Nothobranchius furzeri: one gene and its partners. The protein of the gene in region 2 purifies or fractionates together with the protein of the main gene of each other region. This does not show direct contact. Links are inferred from orthologs where the notes say so. Each region holds a gene or a part of one and is shown on either strand. Other genes may lie near its edges. The genes, in order: serine/threonine-protein phosphatase 2A catalytic subunit beta isoform, strip2 and sike1.

Evidence for each region.
Region 1: the proteins of strip2 (region 2) and serine/threonine-protein phosphatase 2A catalytic subunit beta isoform purify together in Homo sapiens (affinity purification with mass spectrometry; 3 studies listed by BioGRID and IntAct, counting the BioPlex papers as one, with this or other methods). This does not show direct contact. The link is inferred for Nothobranchius furzeri from reciprocal best matches to the Homo sapiens genes STRIP2 and PPP2CB.
Region 3: the proteins of strip2 (region 2) and sike1 purify together in Homo sapiens (affinity purification with mass spectrometry; 3 studies listed by BioGRID and IntAct, with this or other methods). This does not show direct contact. The link is inferred for Nothobranchius furzeri from reciprocal best matches to the Homo sapiens genes STRIP2 and SIKE1.

What each region holds. Positions count from the first base shown.
Region 1 is NC_091750.1:36,847,537-36,851,930, forward strand, and holds the start of serine/threonine-protein phosphatase 2A catalytic subunit beta isoform, read left to right. Parts: upstream 1-1,504; 5' UTR 1,505-1,794; coding exon 1,795-1,896; intron 1,897-3,000; coding exon 3,001-3,039; intron 3,040-4,394.
Region 2 is NC_091741.1:53,343,970-53,347,618, forward strand, and holds part of strip2 (striatin-interacting protein 1 homolog), read right to left. Parts: intron 3,269-3,649; coding exon 3,197-3,268; intron 3,100-3,196; coding exon 3,025-3,099; intron 1,399-3,024; coding exon 1,301-1,398; intron 1,067-1,300; coding exon 940-1,066; intron 1-939. UniProt on the Homo sapiens protein: Plays a role in the regulation of cell morphology and cytoskeletal organization. Required in the control of cell shape. Calmodulin-binding scaffolding protein which is the center of the striatin-interacting phosphatase and kinase (STRIPAK) complexes.
Region 3 is NC_091755.1:53,138,403-53,142,625, reverse strand, and holds sike1 (suppressor of IKBKE 1), read right to left. Parts: upstream 2,885-4,223; 5' UTR 2,740-2,884; coding exon 2,581-2,739; intron 2,283-2,580; coding exon 2,177-2,282; intron 2,095-2,176; coding exon 1,952-2,094; intron 1,857-1,951; coding exon 1,743-1,856; intron 1,346-1,742; coding exon 1,223-1,345; 3' UTR 392-1,222; downstream 1-391. Other genes in the region: micos10 (MICOS complex subunit MIC10), read right to left, coding at 1-24.

The DNA of each region.
Region 1 (4,394 bases), on a different chromosome or scaffold from region 2:
CCTCTCACAGTCACCCTGTTTGCCGGGTATAGTTTGATTAATGAATTTCAGTCACAGACAGTGGACACAAAAACATGTTTTTATTGTGGTTTAAAATATATGGAATTATTTTATGTTATTTTGTGGCAAAAAAAAGTTGCAGTTTCTCATTCTGTCTGCAGCCTGTGTGTTCCCATAATGTGTTGCCCATGCATACATGGATTGCCTCCCACTGACCAAAAACTCAAGACTCAAGACAACTTTATTAGTCCCCGAGGGGCAATTTGAGACAATTCATGTAAACCTTTGGCTCACACACACACACACATACACACACACACATGCACACACAAATACACATGCATACATGTAACTATATGCACGCACACATACAAGTTATGCACACTCCTATCGGCACTAAGAATTAAGAAGAAGCACAGCTCTGGGAACAAAGGAACTCCTCCTCTGTGTTTTACAGCATGGACATCGAAGTTGGCGTTTGGAGGGCAGCCACTCGAAAACAGTATGAAGAGGGTGTAATGGGTCTTTAATTATTTTCTATGCTAACTTCCTGTATGCTGGTCACATTGAGAAGTTAAGTTTTGCAGTGGTAGTCCAATGATCTGAGAGCACACCTTGACGGTGCTTTGTAGACGGTTTCTATACTGCAGGCTGACAGAATAAAACCAACAGGGGATGGAAAATGTGATAACACTCTCTATAAAAGAATAATAGAAAGTCAGTAAAATGTCCTTCCTGTCTCCAAATGAATTCAACTTCCTCAGGAGGTAGAGTCGTTGCTGGCATTTTCTGAGGATGTCCTCAGTGTTGGAAGCGAATTTCAGGAGGTGATCAAAGGTGGTCCCTAGATATGTATACTCTTCAACCAGCTCCACTGGCTGTCCATGAATGATAGTGGAGGCAGCGGTAACCAGCGCTCTCTGTTTGTTTGAGAAGGACACCATCTCCTTAGTTTTGGTCACATTCAGCTCCAGGCCTGCTGTGTCACACCAATCCACAAACTCCTGCAGGACCTGCCCGTGCTAAACAGTAGGGCCTGACAGAAGCGACAGGAGCACAGTGTCATCAGCGTATTTTACCATATAACTGTCAGGCTGGATGGATCTACAGTCATCTGTATGGAGAATGAAGAGTAGAGGAGACAACACACAGCCTTGTGGGGTGCCAGTGGAGGTGTAAAGAAGGTCTGTTAACTGGAGACAATAAACTGTCCCTAGATGTAATTGAATGTGTGACTGGTTGTTTGCCTTTATGTGTCCCTGTGATGGACTGGAGGCATGTCCAGATGTCCTCTGTCTGTCCCCTGGTGACTGAAGTGGGTAAAGATGAGTGAGTGAGTGAGTGAGTGAGTGAGTGAGTGAGTGAGTTACAAATAAACCACATAATGTGTACCTAGAGCAGCAAGCCCTGGTCTAGGATCAGCATCCCGGAAAAGACGATGAACTTGTTGTAGTTCGTTACTTCCCCGCGTGGTGTCGCTGGTGTTCCGAGTCTGCGCGCTGCTGAAGTGCCCGGATGTTGTTGCAGCTAGCTCTTTTAGCCTCTGCGACGCCGCTTCGATCTGCCGCAGCGGAGACTTTCGAAGATTTCGACTCCACTGGCTCATTTAAACTGGTTTTAATGTCGGTAACTTAACATTGGTGGTTTATCATGAGAGAAGTTGTCTGAAAGGGTCGTTATTTTTAGGACTAATCGAATATTTTTCAACCGGACTGGATCGGGTTAACAATACGACAAGCTAAAGGCTGAATCAGTTCGCGTAGGGACCGGACGCCGTTTTTTATTACAGCTGAAATGGAAGATAAATCTTTTACTAAAGAATTAGACCAATGGATCGAACAGCTCAACGAGTGCAAGCAGCTAACGGAAAACCAAGTGAGGACCCTCTGTGAGAAGGTAAGCGCTCATTTGATTCCGCTGACCTCAATTTATAAGCGGCCTGGTTCTCAGCGGCCCCGACTAATTTCTGGAAAGGAAGTAACGTGTATTTTGGTTTTTATCTCCCTATTGACCCGTCAGCCGCAGGTCATCCCTGTTTATTAGTACTAGAAATGAGAAATTATTCGTATTGTTTTTGGTGTTTGAAGATCAGAGGCTAGTTTTATCAGTGATGACGGTTAACCAACAGTCGTAGTTTGAGCACCAACAGGCCGAAAATCGCACCTTAAATGTCTAGTAAATAGATGCAGCCCTCGTTACCATCCACCCGTTTTTTTATTTGACGTGGTTTCCCTCGGTTTGTTCCATGCGAAATATTATGTTAAAATCAGTATTAAGTCAGCGTCTTTAGAATTGGTTTGTTTGCGTACGTGCGGGGTTTCGCACCGCACCCTGTCTGTATTGATTTATCGTTTATTGCATAAACCCATCCTACCTCCCAGTTATTAGACGCGTCCGCATTTTTGCTGTCGCATAATAAATTAGTTCTTATGACTTTTTGCATCGTGTTATTTTTTTAAACATACATTATTATAATTGAGTGACTTTAGCGGTTTTTCAGCTGAAATCAGGAACCAGCTGAGGATTCAACAGGCCAGATAAACGTGGAAACTTATGGAGCTGCAAAAGATGATTTTTATTTATTACTAAAGTAAATAAACAGCTTTTGTGTATATTTATGTCGTTTTGCTGAGCAACACTTTGAACTAAAGAGTTAAACTATCAATCGATTTTGATGCCTTTAATTATGTTTCCTTTTCATAATTAAAGCTTTTTTTCCTGTATTATTTTGTTATTATTGTGAGCTTACCAAATATAAAGAATCAAAAACTGAACCACTGCAGAGAGGCTCTTTATTCTGATGTTTTTGCACATAAACAACAACAAAAAACCAGGTTTCACCATACATCCTGTTTGTTATTCTACAGGAACTGGGGTCTTGCCTGGCTTCCAGCATGTTTTCACCCATGATGCAATAATTCTGTCCTTTTTAAACTTTTGGTTATGTAAATAAAAACACACAAATGTGACCAGTTTAATAAATTTTTGTGTTCTTTTCAGGCAAAGGAGATTCTGACTAAGGAGTCCAACGTTCAAGAGGTGAGTTTGGCCCAAAAAAATCCTAATAAGTCGCCTTCTTCAATACTGCATACATCCGAGTTAATTTGCAGTTTTTGTTCCTGTTGGGGGGGGGTTATCTATGAGGAAATGGAAATCCATTTGAAGAGATTATTCCGTTTGTTTCTAAAACGGTCAGGGTCAGTTTGTGTTATTTTATCATCTTGTGTGTTCCAGTCACACCAGAGTCTCTGGGTTGTATGTTCAAACTTTTAGTAGAACAAACCAGAGGGGCTGGCTTCCCAAACTCAGTTCCTCTTTAGTACCGACCAAATATTTAGTAGGAACTGGTACGGAATAAATATGTATTTTTTGTTGTGAAACTTCAGTATTGTCTTGATAAATTGGCCCTAATAATGAGCCGAACAGCTCCGCACGCCGTGTGACTAAAGGAAGCTGCTCTCTCACACACCATTTATGGCAGGAGTTAATGTAACATTTCAGATAAGATTTGTGTTGCTAAATATGACAAAACAGCAATTTAATAAAGCGCAGCGTCGTTCCTGGTGTTGGTCTGTGAGCCGAAACATGAACCGATTTCATCTGCTGCTGCCAAAAAAAAACAACCAGACTCAAGTCCACAACCCTCCTGCGCTGCAACAGCAACACGGCGGCGTCACCAGGATTGTTTTTTGTTCTGCCTCTTTAAATTTGTATGTTCTAGGGCTGCACGATATTAGGAAAACCTGTGATATGCAATAACGGTGATTAATATTGCAATGACGGTATTACTTGCGATAAATATAAACTTAATTCAGGAACAAAAATAATCAAAAGCAAATAAATAAAAAAGTGACAAAAATATCATAGAAATGAAAAAAGCTAACTTAAAAAAGTTTACTTTTGATTTGGACTAAAAGGTAAAAACTAACTTTTTTTTATTCATTAACTGCCAACCATTTCCTGATCAGAAAAGCCCTTCACTTCCAGCATTTTTACTCCTTTTTTTTATAGAGTGACAGAATGTTGCACGCTAGGATGATGTCGACACCAAAACAACCAAAACAAAGCGGAGACTCACCTCTTACATCAGGAAGAATCCGCGTGTTTCGAGCGTTATCCGTTCTTTAATAATACGTTGTTGAATTGTGATCGTCAGAAGCTTTTCCGGTTCACGCCTCACTTTTTTTACAGCAGCGGCCCAAAACGATCTCCTAACACGTGGATGTTCTGCTTCCTGATCACGTGACGTATGCGGATGAAGATCGGCTTTAGAGCTGAGATGTTTGTTCTCACGGTGCGGGGGCTCGTCCGACGCCCACACAGTAAAAACATGCAAATGACGACTGGCAGTTAATGAGTTAATCTTATAGTTTACTGTTTGCATTGAAAGTTTG
Region 2 (3,649 bases):
GGGAGAAGCATGACATGAACTGTTTAATCTGCCCATCATTTGTGTAGAGATCAGCAGTGTTTGGATCAACAAAGTGTGACTACTTTGATAGTGGAAACTGTATTTATGGCTTACTTTTGTGCATTTAAAGTTCAGCCGCCATTGATAGTTGTTAAAAGTTGTTAAACCTGTGCATATGAAACAAAAAACGCCTTTTGTTTATCGATTTATTGTGAAAAACGGAAGTTCTGCTTGCTCATTTTCCTGTTGGGCGGTGGTGATTTCTGTCCATTGACTGCGGAGGTGCTCCGGCGTCCGGCAAAAATAGGATCGATTCTATTTTTGCCGGACGCCGGAACAGAGGGCGGTGCACGGCGCCGCACTGCCGGAGCACGGCCGCAGTAGTGGAATTGCTCTGATTGACTACAACGGGACCGATTTTGCTCCGGCGTTCGTGTCGGAGCGGAGCGGAGGTAGTGGAATTTGGGGGTAAGCTCTATTTTTTCCAAGCCCCAACAAAGCGGCCCGCCAGTCTGAAGTGGCAAGTGGAATATTCTGGATAGGGTCTAGGTGTCCTTTCATTACCTCTGTAAAGGGCCATTTTAGCACACACTGGCTCAAGAAAATAACTTTAAAATGTGAAAAAGTAGCAGTTGTTTGTGGGTGCAACTCCAGTTTTGGTCAGCAGGTGGAGCCATTATCACAGCTCTACACAACAGAAAGCTGCAGGAGTGTGAAGCATGTTTCTTCCATAGCAACAGCAAATATCTGCATCGGTGTCCCCCTCCCAATAGCAAAGGGACCAACGTTGATTTTAGCACCAAGAATTCCAAATGTAATCTTGTTCCCGTGATTCAGGAGAAGACATACAATCTTTGAAAGGACCTGGAAGGTAAAACTCAGAGGAATCACAATAACTCAGAAGTGAAGGCAATGATAATACCCTGAGCTGGGTGTTACCTGATAGATGTGGCTGAGTTTCAAATGCTTGAGGAGCAGCAACAGCAGAGCAGAGATGGCCTTGACGATGATTTCTTTGTGACGGTTTACGTCGATCCCCAGCTTCATGCTCTGGAGAACGGTGATCCTGGAGGACACACACATCCAACAGTTATCCTGCAACTGTTTGGTCAGGAACAGACTCAACAACCAACACACACCCACAACCTGCTTGTAAAACAAGCTGATTCTCTCATCTGTGTTTTTACACTTTCTCACCAGCTCAAGTGTCGATCAACAAGGGGAAAGCTGCTCTATGTTGACATGGAGGACATAATAATGACAAAAGACAAAAACAGCTGAGAAGGGCTTGATCACTCACGGCATCTCCTCAGGCAGCACATCCGCCAGAATGTTGATGGAGTCGGTTTTAGCTTTGGAGGTTGGAGCTGCAGCTAGCAGGAGCTTCAGGAGAGCAATCTGGCAAAAGAAAGAAAGGGAAGCTTAGTTAAAAAAAAACAAATGAGTACATACAGATGTCCACCTGTACAGGCGCCTTCACAGCTTAGCACTAACAACTAATACCTGCACAGGAAGAAAGTACTAGAAAGAGCTATAGCAGACATTAAATTAATTCCATGTTGCAAGGTACGTGCAATAAAAAGATGCCCCAAAGTTCACTTCTTTAAAAGTGTGGGACGCTCGTTTAATAAATTCATTTCAGTGGTCTCTAGTAGGAATGAATGCCTTGTAACCCGTACTGGGGGGGGGGGGGGGGGGGGGGGGTCAAATCGGCGCACCCTTTCCAGACACTAGAAGTGACTCACATCACAGCTGAGCTTCAGACAGCAGGCTTTGAGCTCTTATTTCCTGATATTTGGACATCTCGCTCAGGATTGAATAAAAGCAACACGACCATCATCGACTTGCAACGTTGGTTTTATCTCCACGATTAACACAAGCCGGGAGGAGTTCTGCTGTGTGGTGAAGTTGATCATGCTAACGGTTAGCTTCTACTAGTTGAGGCATTCTCTGTTGATTCTTGGATGCTAAAACAGCAACAGCCTTCCCTGTCGCGAGTCAAAATGGGAACGTCCATAAATGTTAAGTAACTGTGACGTAGATCTGTCAGGCTTTTCACCATTTTCTATCAGAAGCTGATGAATGCAGGAGAATGGTGTAGGAGACTATTTTCATGTTCAGCCTGCATGAAAAATAATTAGAATTAATCTTTATAAAATGGGTTTTCAATAAACCATGATTTGTGTTTCTGTAGCAATCAGTGGCTCAAGGACGTTTCACCGGTGGAGGAGAATAATAATGCAAATAAACAACAGATGATTTCAGGGGGAGACAACAAATCTGGTGCAGCAAAGAATCAAAAGGCCTTTTAAAGAATGGAATATAATAGGAAGCTTTCTTTGTCATTGCACAATGTCACCTCATTAGCACAATGAAATTCTAGGGCTGCTTCATGGTGCTGATGATGCAACGATGTACATAAAATGAAAAGATAATGATTTAAAAAATTTCTCATAATCCACAGAGGAATGCACTTTCAAAGGGGTTTGCATTAACAAGAATCCGGCTTTACCATAAACGTCACAGTACAGAGGAGATAATACAATACTTTGCGATAATAAAATCCAGATGATAAAAGCGGTTTTTAAGACTGAATTTATTCAGAAAACTGTGGCTAGAAGCCTGTAAGACACGTCCAGTTTCACTGAGAGATCATCAGAATGAAGACGGTAAAATCTGCTGCCCCCTAGCAGTCAGGGTTTGAATTGCACCAGACAAAAGAAATACACTAAATGTTTGATTGTAAATTCTCAATACATATGTTGATACACTGCTTTTAAATATTAACCCAGTATTGTAACAGAAAATATTGCAATATTTTCTTACATCCCTAACTAAATCTGTATAATGACTGGACAGAGCAGCACGCAGGACCGTGCCGACTCCAAGGTCGGGTTTTCTGGTGCCTCTTTGAGACATTTGTTGCTAATTATTTTGTTTTGTCTGAGGTATCCTCGTGTGACAAAGGTCAGATTTTTCAGAAGAGCCTCTCGCTAATGAGGAAGTAGAAAAAGATCCACTCACCACATACTGTGAGAGGTTTGGAAGCATTCCCACGTATAAGATCTCAGCAGGCGTCTCCTCCACCTCCTCCTCACCCTGTCAGCACAGCACCTCCATTTAGCACCCGCAGCCTCAATTAGAGAAACGCTGGAGTTTATTTAAATAAAGCCAAAAAGTAAAAGCGGGAGCTCACCAGGCTCAGCGGACACTGCTGCAGCTCCTCTTCTTTCTTGATCTGGACTTCAGCTATAGACACATACTTGTGCTGGAAATGATAGAAATGTTGCCGTAAACAAGAGATTTACAGCAATGGATAATTACCGCAGCTCGCTGACACCCAGAGGGGCATTTCTTTGCACACTTCTCACTCTGGGAGGTATGGATTTATAATGGAGGGGTGCCATTAGGAGAGGATTCAACAGCGTGTGAGTATTGATTAGCAGACACTTAATCCATAATACAGAAAAGCAAATGAAACAAAAGAATATTAATCTTTTAATAATCCATCCATCCATTTTCAGCCGCTTATGCGGAGTTGGGTCGTGGAGGCATGCAGCTTAAGCCGAGACGCCCAGACTTCCCTCTCCTCAGCTACTCGAGCCAGCTCTTCTGGGGGAATGCCAAAGTGTTCCTTGACCAGCCGAGA
Region 3 (4,223 bases), on a different chromosome or scaffold from region 2:
TTTACCGAGCTCCTTCTCAGACATCCTGACTTAGCTTCGCTCCAGGTATGTGACTCTGGTGCTGCGTTTAGGTCACCCGGAAAATATTCAAGTTGTGAAAATCAAATTTAGAATAACAAGAAAATTGCGGTGCAGTTCCCATTATTTCACCACGTCATTTATGAAATCTTATCAAATAATCGACAATGATAAAAATACTTTGAAGCCTTGAAATAAATTAACGTTTTTTGGTGCTTTTTCCCACTTAAATGTTATTGGAGCGATGTTTTTCCAAACGTCTCATTGTCACAATCAGAAGAGCTTAAAATCACCACCTAGCGGTGAAACCCTGAATTAAAAAATAAGGTTTTTGTGTTTTATCAACAAAAACTTCACCATAAGGTAATATGACTTAGTTTTCAGAACGAGTTTTATTTTACACAAATAATTACACTTCCATAAACATGTTCACTTAACCAACAGTAATTTCCTGAGATGACATTTACAGTTCATGACAAAATAACAGTGCACAAGTACATAACACTCAAAAAAGTAATGCTTACAAAATGTTACCGTGAGAAAGATGTGCAGTCAACTATTACACATTTACTCTGCAATCCAATCTAAAAATTCAGAGTAAAAACTGGTATTTATCATGTTGTAAGCATAACAATCAACTATGGCAGACAAAATGTACATTTATAAATTTACAATCTCTTTAAAAAACTGCCCACTGTCATTCCAGCGCAGGCATTTTGTTTTGTGAAACAGCCAATAGTCATTTTCTTGGCGATGAACACAACATCACACGTGGTGTACAAGTTAGCGTTTAAAACAGAGGCATTTTACTTTTTGGGCATTTTACTTTTTTATGTTCTTAAAAGATTAAACTCATCCTTTCTCCATTCTAAACAAAAATAAATCTCCCTCAGCTTCACTTCAGCATTTAGATAAATATAAAATAAACCAGTGATACCCAAAGCACCTCAGTCAAACTCCGTTCGTTTATGAGGAATTCACTCCCAACATTGCTGCAGTGAAAACACAACTACTGTACATAAAGATATCTATCATAATGATATACCCACTGGTAGTTAAATGCTTCTGATGGCTTTAATGTTGAATTTAAATTACTTTTACAAACATTATTCTGCAATCTAGGTTGTGCTTAAAAAAGAAAAAGCTCTTCCTGTTTGGTTGGTTGTTCCACCTGATCAGTTCAGACTGCAGCTGCTCGGGTCACTCATTGGTCACTGCCTGAGGGCACTGCTGCTGCTGGTGTTGATGGCTGGTGGCTCTCTTCATTTCCCATCTTCACAGATGCCTGGCTGATGGCCAGAAGGTCCCGAAGCTCCTTGTTCTCAATCTGAAAGAGCCCGGATAACCAAACGTAACCTCGTGTAGATTACTCGTTATCACCAGTCCATGCAAGATGGTTGTATCTATGCGAGTTTGGTTTATTGAATCAACATTTTAACCAGAATGAGTCAAGAAAGTCATCTCAAAGAGTTTCTAAGTTGATCTCAGGTGTGTCCAGATATTTTCATTCATAATCTAATGCTGCACCATACGCTCCAGGAAACTAGCAAACAAGAAAACCTGAGAAACTCCAACAGTTTTTATGCTAGCAGCACTAAGCCTTGTGTGTGTTTGTAGACTCATGCTAATTTCCTGAGCTGTTTCAAAGCCTTAGAGTCACTGATTTTGCCTTTTAAAAGCTTAATGATAACTCCTGACATCACGACTGCCATTCCAGTCCTTACCTCCAGTTGAGCAAGCCTCTCTTGAACAGAGCAGAAGTGCTGATCGTCCACCTGCATGGCTCTCCTCATCACTTGGCCCATCTCACATATCCGTTCCACCTGGCTTTGCACTTCCTGGATAAGATTCAGAAAGCATAACTTCAAACCCCTTTTTCTGTCAGAAAATTACATGACTGGGAATGTTCACAGCACAATGAAAGTTGGTGTACTTTGACGTAGTCTTGGTGTAGTCTGAGCACTGGTTTCGTGTCCAGCTCCTTTTTTGCCATCATCAGCTGGAGCATCTGCTTGCGATATCGACCCATGATCAGTTCTAGTGTGTACTGGTGCTCTTCAAGGGACAGCCATAGTTCTGCGGAAACAGTGGCGAAGACAAAAATTACAGACAAACACATGAACTCTAAAAATACCTAAAAACATTGTAAGGATTTTACCTTTATTCTCTTGCTGCAATTCCTTGATTTGAGTGTTTTCTTGAGTCAGAAGGATGTGAGGCTTGTATTTTGTGAGTTCCCGAATCTCTGAGCTGTCTTCTGTGTGCTAAAAGGCAGCAACAAGGAAAATGTCATAAGTAAAAAATACATTTTAAGCACTAGTTGGATGACTGTTCCACCTCTTGATAAATAATTCCCATTATTTAAATATGCTTTTAAAGGCTGGTGTACTTTTTTGGACGATCAGACCTTCTATCTCAAAATGTCTAAGTACTTGAGTAGAGTTAGAGAAGAGTGTCATTTTAAGCTTACCTGCAACCCCAAATCCTTAATGCATGGCTTAAGTCAGCCTTCTAATATAAATATACTTTCACCCAACGTTTATGTGTGAGAGACCATCTTACCTTGTCTGGAAGAGCATTGCCCACCTCCCTCATGCCCTGCACTCTCTGGCTGAGGGCCCCGGATTGCTCGATCAGTCCCTCAGCAGCCGTATCGTGCTCTTTCAGCCTTTCCAGGAGGGTCCTAGCATCCCCCAACACTTTTTCAAAAGTACAGGCCATTAGCTATTAAGTGACTAGTCGTATTTGTAAACTAAAGCTTCCAAATACCAGTTTGATCAGGCGAAAATTTGCCCGTACTGTAGCTTACGCTGGCTATGCTGTTCAAACGCACAAAAATGTTTTACAAACAAATATTCATATCTCAGCGGACCCTCCTAGATCATTTCTCAAGAGACAGATGACTAATTAAACCAGGACAATGTATAACAAAAGAAATCCCTCTTTTTGTTGGCAACTTCGTATTCGAGAGGAAAAAATATAGCGTCACTTCCGGGATTGTACCGTAAACAAGTATCTTGCCGTCAAACGTATCATCGTAGACGTAAAAATGTTTACGAATCCTTTGGTTTTCTCATTCTCGGCAAGGAAACCGTGTGCATAGACATTTTCTGAATAATTTCATTATCCAACTATCTTCATGAGTGTCTGGTGCGCAGACCTGTGGGAAAAGCCGTTTTAACATTTAATAGCATACTTTACTGCATATTAAGCATTTAATGCCTTTTAAACCTCGGTTGAGCCCAGGTTGAGCCCGATTATTTACTTCAAAACAACTGAACATCATTTCCCATGAACCCATGCGTGACAACAGAGCCAGCTGCAGAGGCTTCCCTAGCCTTCGTCAAATATCGCGGGAGCTGTCTCCCTAATCACTACGTAATGTGCCGTGCTGCTTCTAGCGGCGCTGGTGACAGTGCTAAAAGCTGTTGGGGTGAGTTTTATATTATTTTTCTCTGCTTGGTAAACCGTTGAGATATATTTAAATGTCTTATTTCGCATTTAATTTTTTTATAATTCAGGCGGGGTCACCAAAGCGAACGGGCGGTGTACAGCAGAAGTCGGGCCTGGGTGGGGATGCCTTGTTTTTTCTCGGGCCACAGCAGCGTGCTCTGGCTAACGAGCTAACGTTCCAAACGACCGAGCGACGGTTAAATAGCAAGCTGGCGTTTCTTTGACGTGTCTAAAGTACCGAAGACATGCTACTTTGGCCATTCTAACACTTAAGACGTTTCTAGTTGGTGCACAACTTTTGTAGACGCGAGCTTTGTAGGTAGTTTCTTTGTTTTCCATCATCCTCGTGCCGTTAGCCGCGGTGTTTTCTTCGTTTACCCTCGATCTGTTAGGAAATCAAACACGTTTTAGCGCATGTGTGTTGTATCGGACTTGATTAGCCGTCTGACAAATTTCGGATTTAAAATTGGTTTTGATCTAATTCCCATTTTGGTTTTTGCATTTGTTTCAGCTGGATGATGTCGCAAATGTGCCAACCTACTTCTTAACGATACACCTTAAACTGGACCTTTACGTTTATTCTTAAGTTTTCCAAATAATTACAAAAAACAATTTATACGACGTACTTCTCTTGAAAGAAAGCATCTTTGTTTATATTTTTTCGAAAGTATCAATATACCATTTATTAAAATCAAATGAAGAATACGTGGCATTGTAGCCTGAGCAACGTTTCTTTAGAAGTCTGAGGCGTT